Linked DNA regions of Arabidopsis thaliana. The protein of the gene in region 3 purifies or fractionates together with the protein of the main gene of each other region. This does not show direct contact. Each region holds a gene or a part of one and is shown on either strand. Other genes may lie near its edges.

Region 1 (5,223 bases), on a different chromosome or scaffold from region 3:
CTTGAAGATGAAGATGACGACGATTATCCCTACTACTCCTAAACAGAGTCATGAAGATTTCTTTTTTTAGGGTTTTTAGGTTAAGAATGATGATTTGTTGATTTTCTTGAGATGATATTGTAATGATTCGATTTGTTTGAGATAATATAGTAATGATTCGATTTATTTGATTTTCTTAAGACAAGATCTTAATCTACCTTTTGTTTATTTTGGTCATTAAACTCTTTGTAGAGAACGAATTAGGTTTACTTGGTATATCTTCTCATCTTAATAAACTTGAGTGATTTTAAGCCTCTCGGACCTAATATCTATGAACATGTTCAACATACACTCTCCTTATAAGCTCACCTCATGGCTCTATTTCTTACACCTATCTCTTAAATGTTGCTGTGTAGACCAACATTCGATTGGCTTAAAAGGAATTTGGGTTTTAGTGAACATATCTGAATCATCAAGTTAGAGACGTGTTAGAGACAAGTTAGAGACGTGTAATATTACAACTTTAAAATGAAATTCAGTATGCCCCATTAAACGAGATTCTTTGCATCTTCCAAGCAACTAATTTAAAGAGAGAATGTCACACACACGAGTTTGGATAATAAAAAACAAAATAAAAACAATAACTAGAAGTTGTAATGTATTTAAGAACAATATTCTGTCAAAATAACATTGAGAAGCAACTAGTTCTTAAACCCGAGTACGATTCAAAAGGTGGTAAGGACTCTCTAGAAGGTATCAAAACACGAGTAACAGAGTAAACCTCTACGGAGATACAAAGAGCCTTTTCACTTAAAGCATTTGGCGTCCAAAAGAGCCTCGCCTTCAAATGGCTCAGCGTCTTCAATCATCTGGCTAACACGCTCCTTCTGTGCTTCATCGGAGATATCAACCTTAGTCCACTCGTACAGCTCCATGTCGTACACCTCATCCATTATGAACTTGGGGATCTCTGGTCCACGGAAAAGCCATAAACCCTTCACCTTGAAAGGACCCTCTGACCCGCAAATAAGCATCTTTCCAAAGGAGTATTTACGTGCCAAGTCCATACGCTGAAGGAACCCTCCTACCTTGTTGAGTGTAACAAAGGAGACCATGTTCTCATCGTTGTACTTATAGTCACAGAACCATAGTGAGTACCCCTCCGGGTCATACATGTCCCAGAATCCTGCAATGAAGAAAAACATTCAAGGCATTGAGCTTAATAGAATGTACTTTCAGACTCTGGGCCATACATGTCCCATAAACCATAGTGAGTACCCCTCTAAGTCTACTATATCTAGCTTAGGAGGCAATTTAGTAGACTAGAGCAGCTGTGAATTGTTTAGAGAGTCGTTAGTAAGCACTGGTATTATAAGGATGTCACAGCACATTGTCTCGGATTTTTGTAGCTTTCTTCTTAACAAGTTGATTCCATAAACCTAGAACAATTTCTTCTAAAGAACAATTAACAGAAGTCATCATATAACATACCTTTGATAGCAACCTCACGGAAGTTGGATTTGGTGTTCGAGTAAAGCCTCTTCCAGTCATCGAGAACCATTGGGCTTGGTGGTAGCAAGTCAAGAGGATTCTTGGCTTTAGGCTTTGGTGCTTCCTCCTCCTCAGCAGGCTTTGGTGCCTCTGCTACAGGGGCTGCCTTCTTGGGCTCCTCCTTGGGCTTAGCAGGCTGTGGAGCTTTCTTAGTAGGAACTGGAGGGACAGCTTCGGTTTGTTTGGCATCACCCAACACCTTCTTGAATTCTGGCTGGTTAACCATTGTCCAGAAGTATCTCTCAACATGAGGGAATGCAGAGGTAAATTTCTTGGTCATCACGGTGGCAAATCCCAAGTTCAAGTTGCAGATTGTGACAATATCAGCAAGGGTGACAGAGTGTCCAACAAGGAAAGTGTTGGAGGCGAGATGTGTGTTCAGAGCCTCAAGTCCTCTCTTCAATGCAGAAATTGCCGCTTCCTCAGCCTTCATTCAGATAAAACCATTAAAAAGATTAGTCAAGCTTAGACTAGTCAAATACTAATCTTAGCGAGTAAGGAGTAGCATGATTTGTTAGTACAGAGAGTGCATGAGACAAGGCACAAAAAATGAGGGAAAGCTTACTGGGGCAGAGAAGGGAGCATAGCCCATTCTTGGAGCAAACCACTTCAACATGTTAGCATCAATCTCCAATGAGGAGAAATCGATCCATTGCTCAATGTGAGCCTGAAAAGTAAACACATGCACATAGACATGAATCAATGATAGTAAACAAGAGATAAACACAAAGGTACGATAATTTTAAAAGGAAAGGCCATTGGATAAACAGGAGCTTACGTATTCAATAAGGGAGGATCCATTCAAAGAGTTGTCACCATTCTTACGGCTCACTGAAGGGGGATAACAAAACAATCATCATATCCAATTAATACCAAGTTATAGATAGGTGCATCAAAGAGAAACAGAAGGAAATGAAGTTATACCATATCGGGCAATGGCATTGCTCTCAAATATGGGACCTTCAGGAGTCTCAAGCACAGGAACCTAGTGGGATCATAATCTTTTATTAGCTAGGAATTTACAGCAAACATCAATCAAAACTTCTCGAAAGAGATTCCATACCTTTCCAATAGGGTTCATCTTAAGGAACTCAGGTGACTTGTTAGTGACGCCCATCTGAAAGTCTGCGGACTCCTCGATCTTCACACCCGCATACTCTGCAGCAATAAGTGCCTTATTGGCACCTTTGTTTCCCTTGTATGTGTGCATGACCTGATAAATAGTATGATTTACACAAACTTCATCAATGAAACTCAACAGAAATTGCATAGTTATATTCATCCAAAGTAGTTTTTCAATGCAACACAAAATCCAGTTCTCAGATTAATAAACAATCGTCCAAGATACCTAAATCATTCTAAAATCAAACTATATTCCCAGATTTAAGATACATGAATCAAAATTCATAAACTATCATCAACAGATCAGTAAAACCAATCGTGACGGATCTGATGAAACGTGTAATGATCTCAGAAGTGAGTACTTACCAACGCCATTGCTCAAACGGAGAAGATATACGAACTCGGAGATTTTCTGAGTTCAGATCTAGTTACCAAAGAAAACACCAAGTAAAAATCAGTTAATCGTCGATGAAATTTTGAAACGAGAGAAGCGTATATGAAGAAGAAGTTGATAGATTGATTCTTACGAGAGACTTTCTGCAAAAACAATTCCGAGAGAGCAAAGCGAGAGAGAAGAAGATACAAAAGCGGCGGCGAGAAATAGTATTAGAGTGTGGAAATTAGGGCTGTGTGAAGTCGGTTTTGGAGAATATTCCTTTTTCGTTTGATTCGGTTTAGCTTTTGGTTTTGTCAAATTTGGTTTGCTTATTTTTAAGGTTTAAACGATTATAACTTTTGCATTTATGTATAACATAATAAAAATTAGCGTATTGTTTTACCCAAAGTAAAGTTGGAGTTTTGTTTTTGCATTTTTTGACAGATTTTGCTGACATTTCCCCATGGCCATTTTGATATGTAGTTTAGTTGGTTGTATCCATATCCTTGGTGTGCCAAACTCGCATGTTGTTGAAAAAGAAGAAAAAGAAACACTAGTTCATCGAAATTCGTAGAAGCAACCTCACAAAGTTACTTCTCTGATTCATGTCTCTATGTGGTTTCTTCCTCTCCAAGATATCCTAAACGACAACCAAAAACAAAGTTTTAGACCATACAAACTAAACTTTAAATCCGAAAATGATATATCCTTTTTAAAAATAAGTTGTGTTGTGCTTTTTAAATTCAAAAGGGTTATTAACTTATTATGCAAGATTGATCCATAGATGTAAACTAAAACGTTACCACGTACAATGCCAATTAATATAATTAGGTTTTTGATACACCAACTCCAAGTATGGGTTTGAATAAATACAAAATTGATGAATTTTGTAACCCTTCTTTCACTTTGTGAAAATGAAATAAAATCTTTTAATTAAGTAGCTTCCAAAACTATTAGAGGGCATTATTGGTAGGTCCACTAAACTATGTTATTGTTCGTATGTCATACATATATAGATGTTTTTTTATTGAGTTCGATTTCTTCTACGAAGTTTACAAAATTGGTTACCTTCCACAAGTCTTTGCGTATCATTTCTTCACAACTTACTCCTTTTGGTCAACAGTACCAACAACTTTAATTTCAAGCATCTTCCGCCTCTTCTTCTTCTGCACTGCGTTTACTTTGTGTGACCAAAAATCCAAACTAAAGATATGGAGGTTCCAATCTGGCAATGGTGTTTGATCGTCATAGTGATCATATTCTTGGCAATTGCTTCCCATTTTCTGGGAAGAATCTTGTGTAGCCCTCGAGAGAGAATCGCAGATAGTAAAGCCGAGAAAAAACATGGACCAGCCGAAGCAGACAAGACTGCGAAAGGTGGCTCCGACCAACTCGTGTGATGATCTCAAAGAGCATGCATATATCGTCAAGTTTGGTTTGTAATTTGTAAGTTCATTTTTTTTTTTACTATTATTGTAAAATAATACTAATTGTTCACATCCATATATACATATATGCGTAAATATATATATGTGTGTGATCAATTCCAATTTAAAAAAAAAGAAGCATTGGAGAGAACACTAGTAAGCTCTTAAATTTGTTTTCAATTAGTCATCAACTCATCATCAAGTCTAAGAAACCAAAATGTAATTCGGGTTTACAACATTGCATGGTTAGCTTCATATTATGGGAAATTAAACTTTGATAGTTAGACCAAAAAAAACAAAAAACGTTGATAGTGTTGACCTTGGTGATGGAAATCAAATGAAATCAACTTTTAACCGTGGGTTGGCTATGTGCATATCGGATTAGAACCGATAATTGAGCTGCTGTAGACTCGCTTTAGGTTTGGTTTAATGTCCATGTTATGTTAAAAGGCTGTTATAATTGTTGAAACAAAGTTTTACAACAACCAAATTAAAAAAAAAGTTGTTGTAACAAAGCATGCTATAAAAAGGTAGAGCAAGGATCCATCTTGTGTATGATATATATATACATTTTAACATATGTAATTTCGTGTGAGAAATTCAGTTACTGAGAAGATAGTGAATTGCAAGTATTACGTAACGTAGGGATCTCAATCAAGTCCCGAAATCGTAAAAGCCTCACGTCTTTTCTTCTTCCTATTTCTTGGATCCTCTGTTCTTGTTCTGTTTTTCTTTCTTTGGTGGTTCTTGAGAGATTGAGAGAGTGAG
Region 2 (5,186 bases), on a different chromosome or scaffold from region 3:
TGATGTTGAAATTAGAAAAAGGGAAAAGAACAATTCGACCACCCAGATTTTCTTTACAGGATTATATGCCTTGTAGCAGTAAAGAACAATTCATTTCGCTTGAGACCAACTTTATTAAATACGTCATTAATAAATTGATATACACTACCTTTCTTTTCTTATTTTGTGACCAATCTAACATATAGTAATATTTTTGGTAGTTACCAATCTAACGTATAATATAATTATCTATACATTTCTCAGCGAAACAATAATTTTTTATTTTTTGGTCAAACAGCGAATAATAATTATAATCAGCAATTTGTATATATAATCTGATACGAAAAATATTATGAACAAATGTTACATTATTTTGTCATAAGTTACATGTTCTTTTATTAGAGTTGTGTGGCGTATTAAGTTGTCTACCTTTTTTTATTCGTTAGTTAATTTCGAGATGAACATGCCAGTTCTTCTTCTACGAAATTAACTAGACTTATTATTCTTCAAGAGTTTGCTTTTTCAGCAATTTTTAAAATTGGAAAAATGTTCAATATATGTGCCAAAAAGACTTTACCACTAAATGTTCAACTCAAAGACCAATGTATATAAGTTGACCGAAACGCGTCAAAGAAAATCAATCAAGGCAAAATTACCGTAAAACAAATAAACCAGACCATGTATTGCCTATTGCCAGGGTAGACTGGCCGGTCAGGATTTCGAAAACTGGTATAGTAAACAATTCTGGACGGAGGCGAAACATTAACAAAGAACTAAAAAGACTTGTCCTTGACACTCGATTAGAAAAGAAAAAAACAGTCTATGCGACACGTCACAGAGCAAAACCCCTATGTGAGACAGACAGATAGAAAGATATGTAAAGCCCCAGCTGCAAAACCTGTAAATGGAAGTACCAAACCATTCTCTCTTCTCACTTGAAGCACTTGGCGTCCAAGAGAGCCTCACCTTCAAATGGCTCTGCGTCTTCAATCATCTGGCTAACACGCTCCTTCTGGGCTTCATCTGAGATATCAACCTTAGTCCACTCATACAGCTCCATGTCGTACACCTCGTCCATTATGAACTTTGGGATCTCTGGTCCACGGAACAGCCATAAACCCTTCACCTTGAACGGACCCTCTGACCCACAAATCAGCATCTTTCCAAAGGAGTATTTACGTGCCAAGTCCATACGCTGAAGGAACCCACCAACCTTGTTGAGCGTGACAAATGACACCATGTTCTCATCGTTGTACTTGTAGTCACAGAACCATAGTGAGTATCCCTCTGGGTCATACATGTCCCAGAATCCTGCATTTGAGCCACAATATTAGACATGATAAAAAACAATTGATTCCAATAGCTAAATAATTCCCTGATAGCAAAGCTGAAAAACTAGGTAGAGGAAGATATCACCACACACCTTTAATAGCAACCTCGCGGAAGTTAGATTTGGTGTTTGAGTAAAGCCTCTTCCAATCATCTAGAACCATAGGGCTTGGTGGTAGCAAGTCAAGAGGGTTCTTGGCTTTGGGCTTTGGTGCCTCTTCCTCTTCAGCAAGCTTAGGTGCCTCTGCTACTGGGGCTTCCTTTTTCTTAGGCTCTTCTTTGGGCTTTGCAGGCTGGGCAGCTTTCTTGGAAGCAATAGGAGGGACAGCTTCAGTCTGTTTGACATCACCCAACACTTTAGTGAAGTTTGGTTGGTTAACCACAGTCCAGAAGTACCTCTCAACATGAGGAAATTCAGAGGTAAATTTCTTGGTCATGACAGTAGCAAATCCCAAGTTCAAGTTGCAGACAGTGATGATATCAGCAAGGGTAATAGAGTGTCCGACAAGGTAAGTGTTAGACGTGAGATGTGTGTTCAGAGCATCAAGTGCTCTCTTCAACGTAGAGATCGCACCTTCTTCAGCCTTCATTTATATAACAATCACGGATGAGACTATTTATATAGTGAAAAGAATACCTAGATTGCCATCACAAAGAGTGAATGAAACAACCAATGAAAGTCAAAAAAGCTTACCGGAGCACTGTATGGCATAAAGCCCATTCTTGGGCCGAACCACCTCAAGATACTTGCATAGATCTCCAATGAAGAGAAATCAATCCATTGCTCAATTTGTGCCTGCGAAAAAACAACATGCAGATAACCATTGAGAATACTAACAAATAGAATGACAAACAATAGAAGAGGTGTCAATGGATTAGAGAAGAGTAGCCCCCAGGGAAAAAACAGCTACTTACATATTCGATCAGGGAGGATCCGTTCAAAGAGTTGTCACCATTCAATCGGCTTACTGTATTGAGATATCAACAGATCCATTAAACCCAAACGACAACAAGCAATCAAACTAGACACTGAGAGACAATTAAAGGAGAAAGTTATGAATGCTTTACCATAACGGGCAATTGCGTTGCTTTCAAATACTGAACCCTCGGGAGTCTCAAGTACAGGAACCTAGCAAGATCAATAACTCTTGGTTAGCTGAAAAATAGACTTAATAATACTCAGTCCAGAAATTTAGCAAACACCAGTGATGACAAACCTTTCCAATAGGGTTCATCTTGAGGAACGCAGGGGTTTTGTTAGTGACACCCATCTGAAAGTCAGAGGGCACATCGATCTGCACACCAACGTACTCTGCTGCAATGAGTGCCTTCTCAGCACTTTTGTTTCCCTTGTACGTGTGCAAGACCTGCAATCGTAATTCATCATCAGCACAATAATACGTATTCCAAATCAATAACTTAACAATAGAGTAGCTACATATCCAAACTAACATAATTTTAATCAATTTGGTGTATGAACAATCGTTCTATAAACTTAGATCCTAAAATTTACAAATCTAACGTTTCTACAATTATATCGATACATGATGCGATCGTAACAGTAGACAATCATAGAGAACTCACCAAAGCCATTGCTCAGACGGAATTCAAGCGAACTTGGGGCTTCTGATATCGGATCTGGTTCCAAGGAAAAAAAATCAAGCAGTGAGCTCGCAATTGACATGATCATAAATATGAATATGAGCTAACTGGAGAAAAAAAGATTGTTCGATCGATGGATCTTACCAGATATTCTGAAGAATCTTCCGTGAGAGCAAATCGAGAGAGAAGAAGCAAAAAGTTGAGGCGGAGAAAAGCTATAAAGGAGTGTTGAAGGGATGATGATGAAGAAGTAGGGTTTTTAAAATCTGTATTGAGTGTATTCCTCTGGTTTGGCTCGGTTTTGTTTGGTTTTATTTCTGATTTTTGTTTATTTTCCGGTTAAGCTCTAATTACTTTCCCTTTTATTAGCATGTATAAATGAATTACATATATGTAGGCTTTTTTAGTAAGCCCAACTTGACAAGAAAAGGTCTTCGTCGTTGGGCAATAACAAGCCGAGAAGGTTGAATAGAGAAGATCCAAGGGGAAAGAGAAATTAAATTATTTATTTATTTCTGTCATCTTCTCCTTTTCTATTTCAAAATCCCAAATCTAAAGCACTCCTCGAGAAAAGTGTAACAATGGCGAGAAGACCGGACGAAGAATACGACTACTTGTTTAAAGTGGTTTTGATCGGAGACTCCGGTGTCGGCAAGTCTAATCTCCTCTCTAGATTCACTCGCAACGAGTTCTGCTTAGAATCCAAATCCACCATTGGTGTCGAATTCGCTACTCGTACTCTCCAAGTACGCACACATCTCTCTCTATATATATAGTATATAGTGTAATCGAAATGTTGCTGGATCTAGGTTTAGTTCTAAGTTAAGCAGCATCCGGTGCTTTTCGATTCGATCCGTATCTGTGTTCGTATGAATACTCGGAAGCAGTCATTGTGTGTAGGAACATTTGGGCTTGGTTTTGAATTTTGATGTTTACATGTGTGGTGCCTGTTTTTTTCATTTGGTCGAGATTTTTGCTTTGGTATCTCTTAATTTAAGCGTTTTATTGATAATGTTCCCAAATTTGTCGATACTCTGGTACGTGGTAGTGTAAGGCTCCCTCACATGTCAGATCTAAAACCTTGTTTAAGGCAGATCTAAGAATCTCTTCATCTGAAATTGATCTCGAACATGATTTTCTTTTGAAGTATGAATCATGGTTGTTGTTTCACAGTTTCTAGTTTTCTTACTGGGTTGTTTGTGGAATTTAGCTGCGAAGTTACTAATTTTGTTGTTGCAGACACACTAATCATAGAGTCTGCTGCTCATTAGATCTGAATTAACCTATTAAAAAACCTATGATCTTTGTTCTAAGGTGGAAGGAAGGACTGTGAAAGCTCAGATATGGGACACGGCTGGGCAAGAACGATACAGAGCCATAACTAGCGCCTATTACAGAGGTGCACTTGGAGCTCTTTTGGTCTATGATGTCACCAAGCCAACAACGTTTGAGAATGTAAGCAGGTGGTTAAAAGAACTAAGAGACCATGCAGATTCCAATATAGTGATCATGTTGATTGGGAACAAGACAGATCTGAAGCATCTCAGAGCAGTTGCCACAGAGGATGCTCAGAGCTATGCAGAGAAAGAAGGCTTATCTTTCATCGAGACATCGGCTCTCGAGGCATTAAACGTAGAAAAGGCTTTTCAGACGATTCTCTCGGAGGTTTATAGGATCATCAGCAAGAAGTCGATATCTTCAGACCAGACAACTGCAAATGCCAACATCAAGGAAGGCCAAACAATTGATGTGGCTGCTACTTCTGAATCAAACGCTAAGAAGCCTTGTTGCTCATCGTCTTGAAAGGCTTTGTTTGTGTTGCACTTAAAAAAAGCCAAATATCTATGAGACTTTATTTCAAGGCTTGCGTTGTATTTGTTTTCTTTCTTTTTTCTGTTGTTGATAATATAACTCAAAGATAATTTTTTATATCAATTGTGGAGTTCGGAATCGTTCACACAAAACAAATTTTGGAAACGAAAAATATTTTTAGGGAATTAATTGTAGTTTTGAGTGGTAGTTGTAATGTAGTATCAGAAAAATAAGCAGAGTATAAAATGAAATAAACAAATACCAACGTAGACTATAGTTTGAATTTTTAATAGAGCAGAAATTCTTCGATTTCAAAGATAATTTAAATAAAGTAGACAAAATCACACAATATACATTTTTCAATCAAGAAGAAATGGAAAAGCAAAGAAAGGAAGTTAATTAAAAAAAAGGGGGAAAAAAAAAACGGAAGTCAACAAGAATACAGGCAAAACCAAAAATATATA
Region 3 (3,940 bases):
TTGTGGAAGCATTCTCTCTTTTTGCAATCGCAACATCTTATATAGGGTTTGTCTTAGGCCTCTCTGATTTCTTCTCTGACTGTAAGTATCATCAAACAATCAAACTTTTATGTTTTTCTACTAAATCTACAGCCATGGAGACATAACTGTATAATCTATTCTTTCATCGAAAACTTTCAGTATTGAAGCTCCCGAGTGGCCAGAACAAGCCTCTTCTTTACTTGCTTACTCTCGTTCCACCGCTTGTTCTGTCCCTACTGGATCCAGAGATTTTCTTCAAGGCCTTAGATTTTGCCGGGACATATGGAGGTAAGTCTCTTCTTGAGAAACCTGAATCAACAAGTTCAAACATGAAAACCTAACAACTGTATGTTCTCTTTCGTAGTTCTGGTATTGTTCGGAATCCTCCCAGCAGCAATGTCTTGGTCAGATAGGTACATAGTCTCATCATCAACAGTGACAAGATTACCTCAACTTGTTCCCGGAGGAAAACTCACCCTTTCTCTGGTTATGGGAGCTGCAGGATACGTAATTATTTCTGAAGTAATAGAGAATTTGTCAAAGTATCTAAATGTTTCTTAACAATGATGCAACGGAATAGTAACCATTGAAAATTTAGTGTTATTGTAACATGAAAGCGGTCTTGCAACTAGGAAAGAAACATTTCGGTAAACAACACAAACGAAAACAAAACTTGAAATTCAGATATGTTTCGGTAAGGAGAAATTTGAAGTCTCTAAATCTTGTTGAAAGCGACAATGTCACAACTCTGGATGTACTCGTTGTTAGGCTCTGAGGTGAGGAAGTCTTCAATGAGGTTGTCCGGGGACACGAGGTCATCAACAATCGTGAACATAATTGTGAGTTTCTTGATCCCATAACCAACTGGTACAAGTTTTGCTGCAAGACAGGGAGAAAAAAAATATCAATTATAAAACTGTCTCACCCAAAGAGTAACAAGCTTACTCTGATATAAAGATTGAAAGTTTAAACGTACAGGCTCCCCAGAAAAGACCAGGCATCTCAACACCACGAACAGCCTCTTCCAGTTTCTTCATGTCGGTTTCATCATCCCATGGCTTAACATCCATGAGCACAGAAGACTTTCCACCTAACAAAGAGTTCAAAATTCAAAAGAGAGTTAGAACCCTTATTAAAATTTAAGATGCAGTTACTAATTCACATGCTTGTATATGTACTATCGAATTCAATTAAGAGGCTTACTCTCTTTAGGCTTCTTGGTGTCCTTCTTAGCAGCCTCCCTCTCCTCTGCAGCTTTCTTTTCTTCTTCGGTCTCGTCACCAAAGAGATCCATGTCATCATCATCATCAGCTGCAGCTGCAGGTGCCTGTTGACAATTATGCAAGATAGCGTAAACACACACACACACACACAACATTCCAAACCAAACTCCAATCAATTCCCCTACCAAACATAGCTCGTGATCCCTAATACAAGATTGGAAATATCACCTTTCAAATCATAGTTCCAAACTACATTCATTACCCTTTTTCTAAGGTCTACGACTATGGTAATAAAGAATAAAGCATTCAAGTAAAGGTACCTCAGCTTCAACAGCTGGAGCAGCAGCAGCAGAGCCACCGAATTGTACTCCAACGGCCTTTCCAGGGAAACTGCAACAAATCAAAACTCGTCAATTCCTGGAAGATCAATATACAAATCCAAATCTGAATCGATTATTACAAAATTCCGAAAAAAGGACGAACCTTTTAGCAAGTTGGGAAGCCACGGACTCGTACCACTTGCTAGCATTGGGGAAGGCATCGCTGGGTTTCACTGGAACGGCAGCGTAAACCTTGACATCATCCACAGACAATTGATCTCTGCAAATTCAAACTCTCTTATACGTCAAAACGGGAATAGAAACAATCGAATCGTGTCGCAAAAACAATAGGAAAAGTGAGAAACTTTACCCGGAGATGTAGGTTTTTCCGGCGAGGTGCTCCTCCACGGATTTGACACCCTCCTCTGTGTGTAGATCTGAAAAGGTAACGGCCATTGTTGCTGAGTTTTAGGGTGTGAGGGAGGTAGAGAGATCAGAGAGACTAAGCTGCTGTTGAAACCTAAAAGAGTATATCCTGAGCTGTGAGACTCTGAGAAACCCTAAACCCAAATAAACTGACAAATATTTGGGCTTATTTATGGGCCTTCAAAGTGGCTCGTTCCCAAAGAGAGTCCGGAAAAAGTAAAATTAACATTTAGGTTGTTCTTTATTTGGAAAAAAATAACATAGGTCTCAACTCTCAAATAGGTAAAGGTATCTACAAAATTGGAAATAAACAAATTAATGATAAAATTTATTCTTCCCAGTTTTGGGTATAGAGTGAAACCTTGATATGAATGAATTGTAATTTGTACTATTTTGTATATATGTAAATCTGTAATGAAAAGTAAAATATTTTTGATGAATTTAAATTTACTTGACTCCGATTGATCATACTAAACCAGAGCTCATTTTGGACTTAGTTTGTGTTATTTTAGTAACTAACTTAGACAATTATGTAATGTCATGTGTATATTTTAACAGAATTTGAGTGTCAATTCTCTTCCCAGATATGGCAATGAGTCACTACCATGCTGCATATTTATAGTTGGCTCCTTCATCTTGGAATCAACTTCTCTTGGTTGCTGCATGATACAACAGATAAAGCTTGAGTCTGCTCCAAGGATGGCGATTTATGAAACTTGGAAGGAACATAATCACCATTATCACCTTGACATTATACACTACAACCTGATGTTACCGTTGTCCCAAAAGACCAAGAAGATCTCTCTAAACAAAGCTTAGGCTCTGCTTCGATTGGGGTCCCTTACTTACTTAGTGATGTTGGTTTGATCAGTAGTTATCAACTTACCACTTATTAGTTTGGTGAAACGATGGTTGAGAATTTGTATATTTCTTTGAATGCTACATTTATAGGGTGTTTATTTTCTCTTCTATTTTTTGGTTGATATGGTTCATGTTTAATTCTTTTATAAACTTTATTTTGTTATTGCAAACAAATCCTTTGCCAATAAAAGAAAAATGTCAAAGTGTACATATTACTGGTCACTGTCACGTTTGAGTTTTATGTTTTGGTCCATATATCGTTTGAGTTTTATGTTTTGGTCCATATATCACCTTTACTTTCGACTTGTGAGATTAAACACTTGATGACATGACCACATTACGTACCTACAAATTGTACATAACATTTGGGAAAAAGATGTATTCAATATTTGGCATCTTTATAAGAAAAATCTATTAATTACAAATTTACATTTTTAAATAATAAGCTTAACGGCTAAATGACATAGACACAAGATAACATTAAAGTAGTTAAATTCAAATATCCACGCATTGAAATTATCTACTACTATTTTTGTTGTCGTCCTTTAGTACTCATAAAAGGATAGGTTCAATTTTGAATAATTGAATTCGGATTTGTTCGATGCGAGTTATTTTAAATATCCTACCGTGCACATTAAAATCATGGGAAGAACTAAGAAGATAGGTACGTAGTTTACACTCAAAACAATATAAAAGTTGATTTTTTCATCGAAATGCCAAATTCGTCTTTAGTCTTTACCGAAATTTTAATATATTTCATTTGTGAAAATAACGGTAAAACCAAGGACTGTGTCTGTATATATTCTTGCTGTCGCCTTTGTCTTTTCTTTTCAACTCTTATTAAGTGGTACTATTATATTACAGTTTTTAAAAATTATAACTACATTACTACTATATGATTTTTGTGCAATTTAAGATCTATGATATTAGCCAGACCCATTCATAAGCAGCTGTAGCAATTCTGCATTAACTAACCCTTCTCTATTTGTTCGTTAACCAAGCTAATGCGACTTCTCATTTCATGTTGTTTTTTACGTAGATCACATGCATTGATCACATCATTTTAACTAAATGACACTGAATTTTCAA

What was found. Proteins that work in one complex are often made in the same cells at the same time.
Region 1: the proteins of AT5G19510 (region 3) and AT1G57720 fractionate together in Arabidopsis thaliana (co-fractionation; one large-scale study listed by BioGRID). This does not show direct contact.
Region 2: the proteins of AT5G19510 (region 3) and AT1G09640 fractionate together in Arabidopsis thaliana (co-fractionation; one large-scale study listed by BioGRID). This does not show direct contact.

Annotation. Positions count from the first base shown.
Region 1 is NC_003070.9:21,375,677-21,380,899, reverse strand, and holds AT1G57720 (Translation elongation factor EF1B, gamma chain), read right to left. Parts: upstream 3,581-5,223; 5' UTR 3,180-3,580; intron 3,166-3,179; exon of another isoform or gene 3,077-3,165; 5' UTR 3,028-3,076; coding exon 3,019-3,027; intron 2,744-3,018; coding exon 2,594-2,743; intron 2,516-2,593; coding exon 2,455-2,515; intron 2,362-2,454; coding exon 2,309-2,361; intron 2,198-2,308; coding exon 2,096-2,197; intron 1,958-2,095; coding exon 1,471-1,957; intron 1,166-1,470; coding exon 786-1,165; 3' UTR 521-785; downstream 1-520. Other genes in the region: AT1G57730 (RING/U-box superfamily protein), read left to right, coding at 1-42. UniProt on the Arabidopsis thaliana protein: Probably plays a role in anchoring the complex to other cellular components.
Region 2 is NC_003070.9:3,117,877-3,123,062, reverse strand, and holds AT1G09640 (Translation elongation factor EF1B, gamma chain), read right to left. Parts: upstream 3,325-5,186; 5' UTR 3,055-3,324; intron 2,947-3,054; 5' UTR 2,902-2,946; coding exon 2,893-2,901; intron 2,676-2,892; coding exon 2,526-2,675; intron 2,438-2,525; coding exon 2,377-2,437; intron 2,277-2,376; coding exon 2,224-2,276; intron 2,105-2,223; coding exon 2,003-2,104; intron 1,893-2,002; coding exon 1,403-1,892; intron 1,291-1,402; coding exon 911-1,290; 3' UTR 521-910; downstream 1-520. Other genes in the region: RAB11c (RAB GTPase 11C), read left to right, coding at 3,492-3,656, 4,225-4,713. UniProt on the Arabidopsis thaliana protein: Probably plays a role in anchoring the complex to other cellular components.
Region 3 is NC_003076.8:6,581,118-6,585,057, forward strand, and holds AT5G19510 (Translation elongation factor EF1B/ribosomal protein S6 family protein), read right to left. Parts: upstream 2,132-3,940; 5' UTR 2,021-2,131; coding exon 1,935-2,020; intron 1,845-1,934; coding exon 1,728-1,844; intron 1,635-1,727; coding exon 1,565-1,634; intron 1,349-1,564; coding exon 1,225-1,348; intron 1,112-1,224; coding exon 998-1,111; intron 901-997; coding exon 737-900; 3' UTR 583-736; downstream 1-582. Other genes in the region: AT5G19500 (Tryptophan/tyrosine permease), read left to right, coding at 1-81, 181-309, 386-582. UniProt on the Arabidopsis thaliana protein: EF-1-beta and EF-1-delta stimulate the exchange of GDP bound to EF-1-alpha to GTP.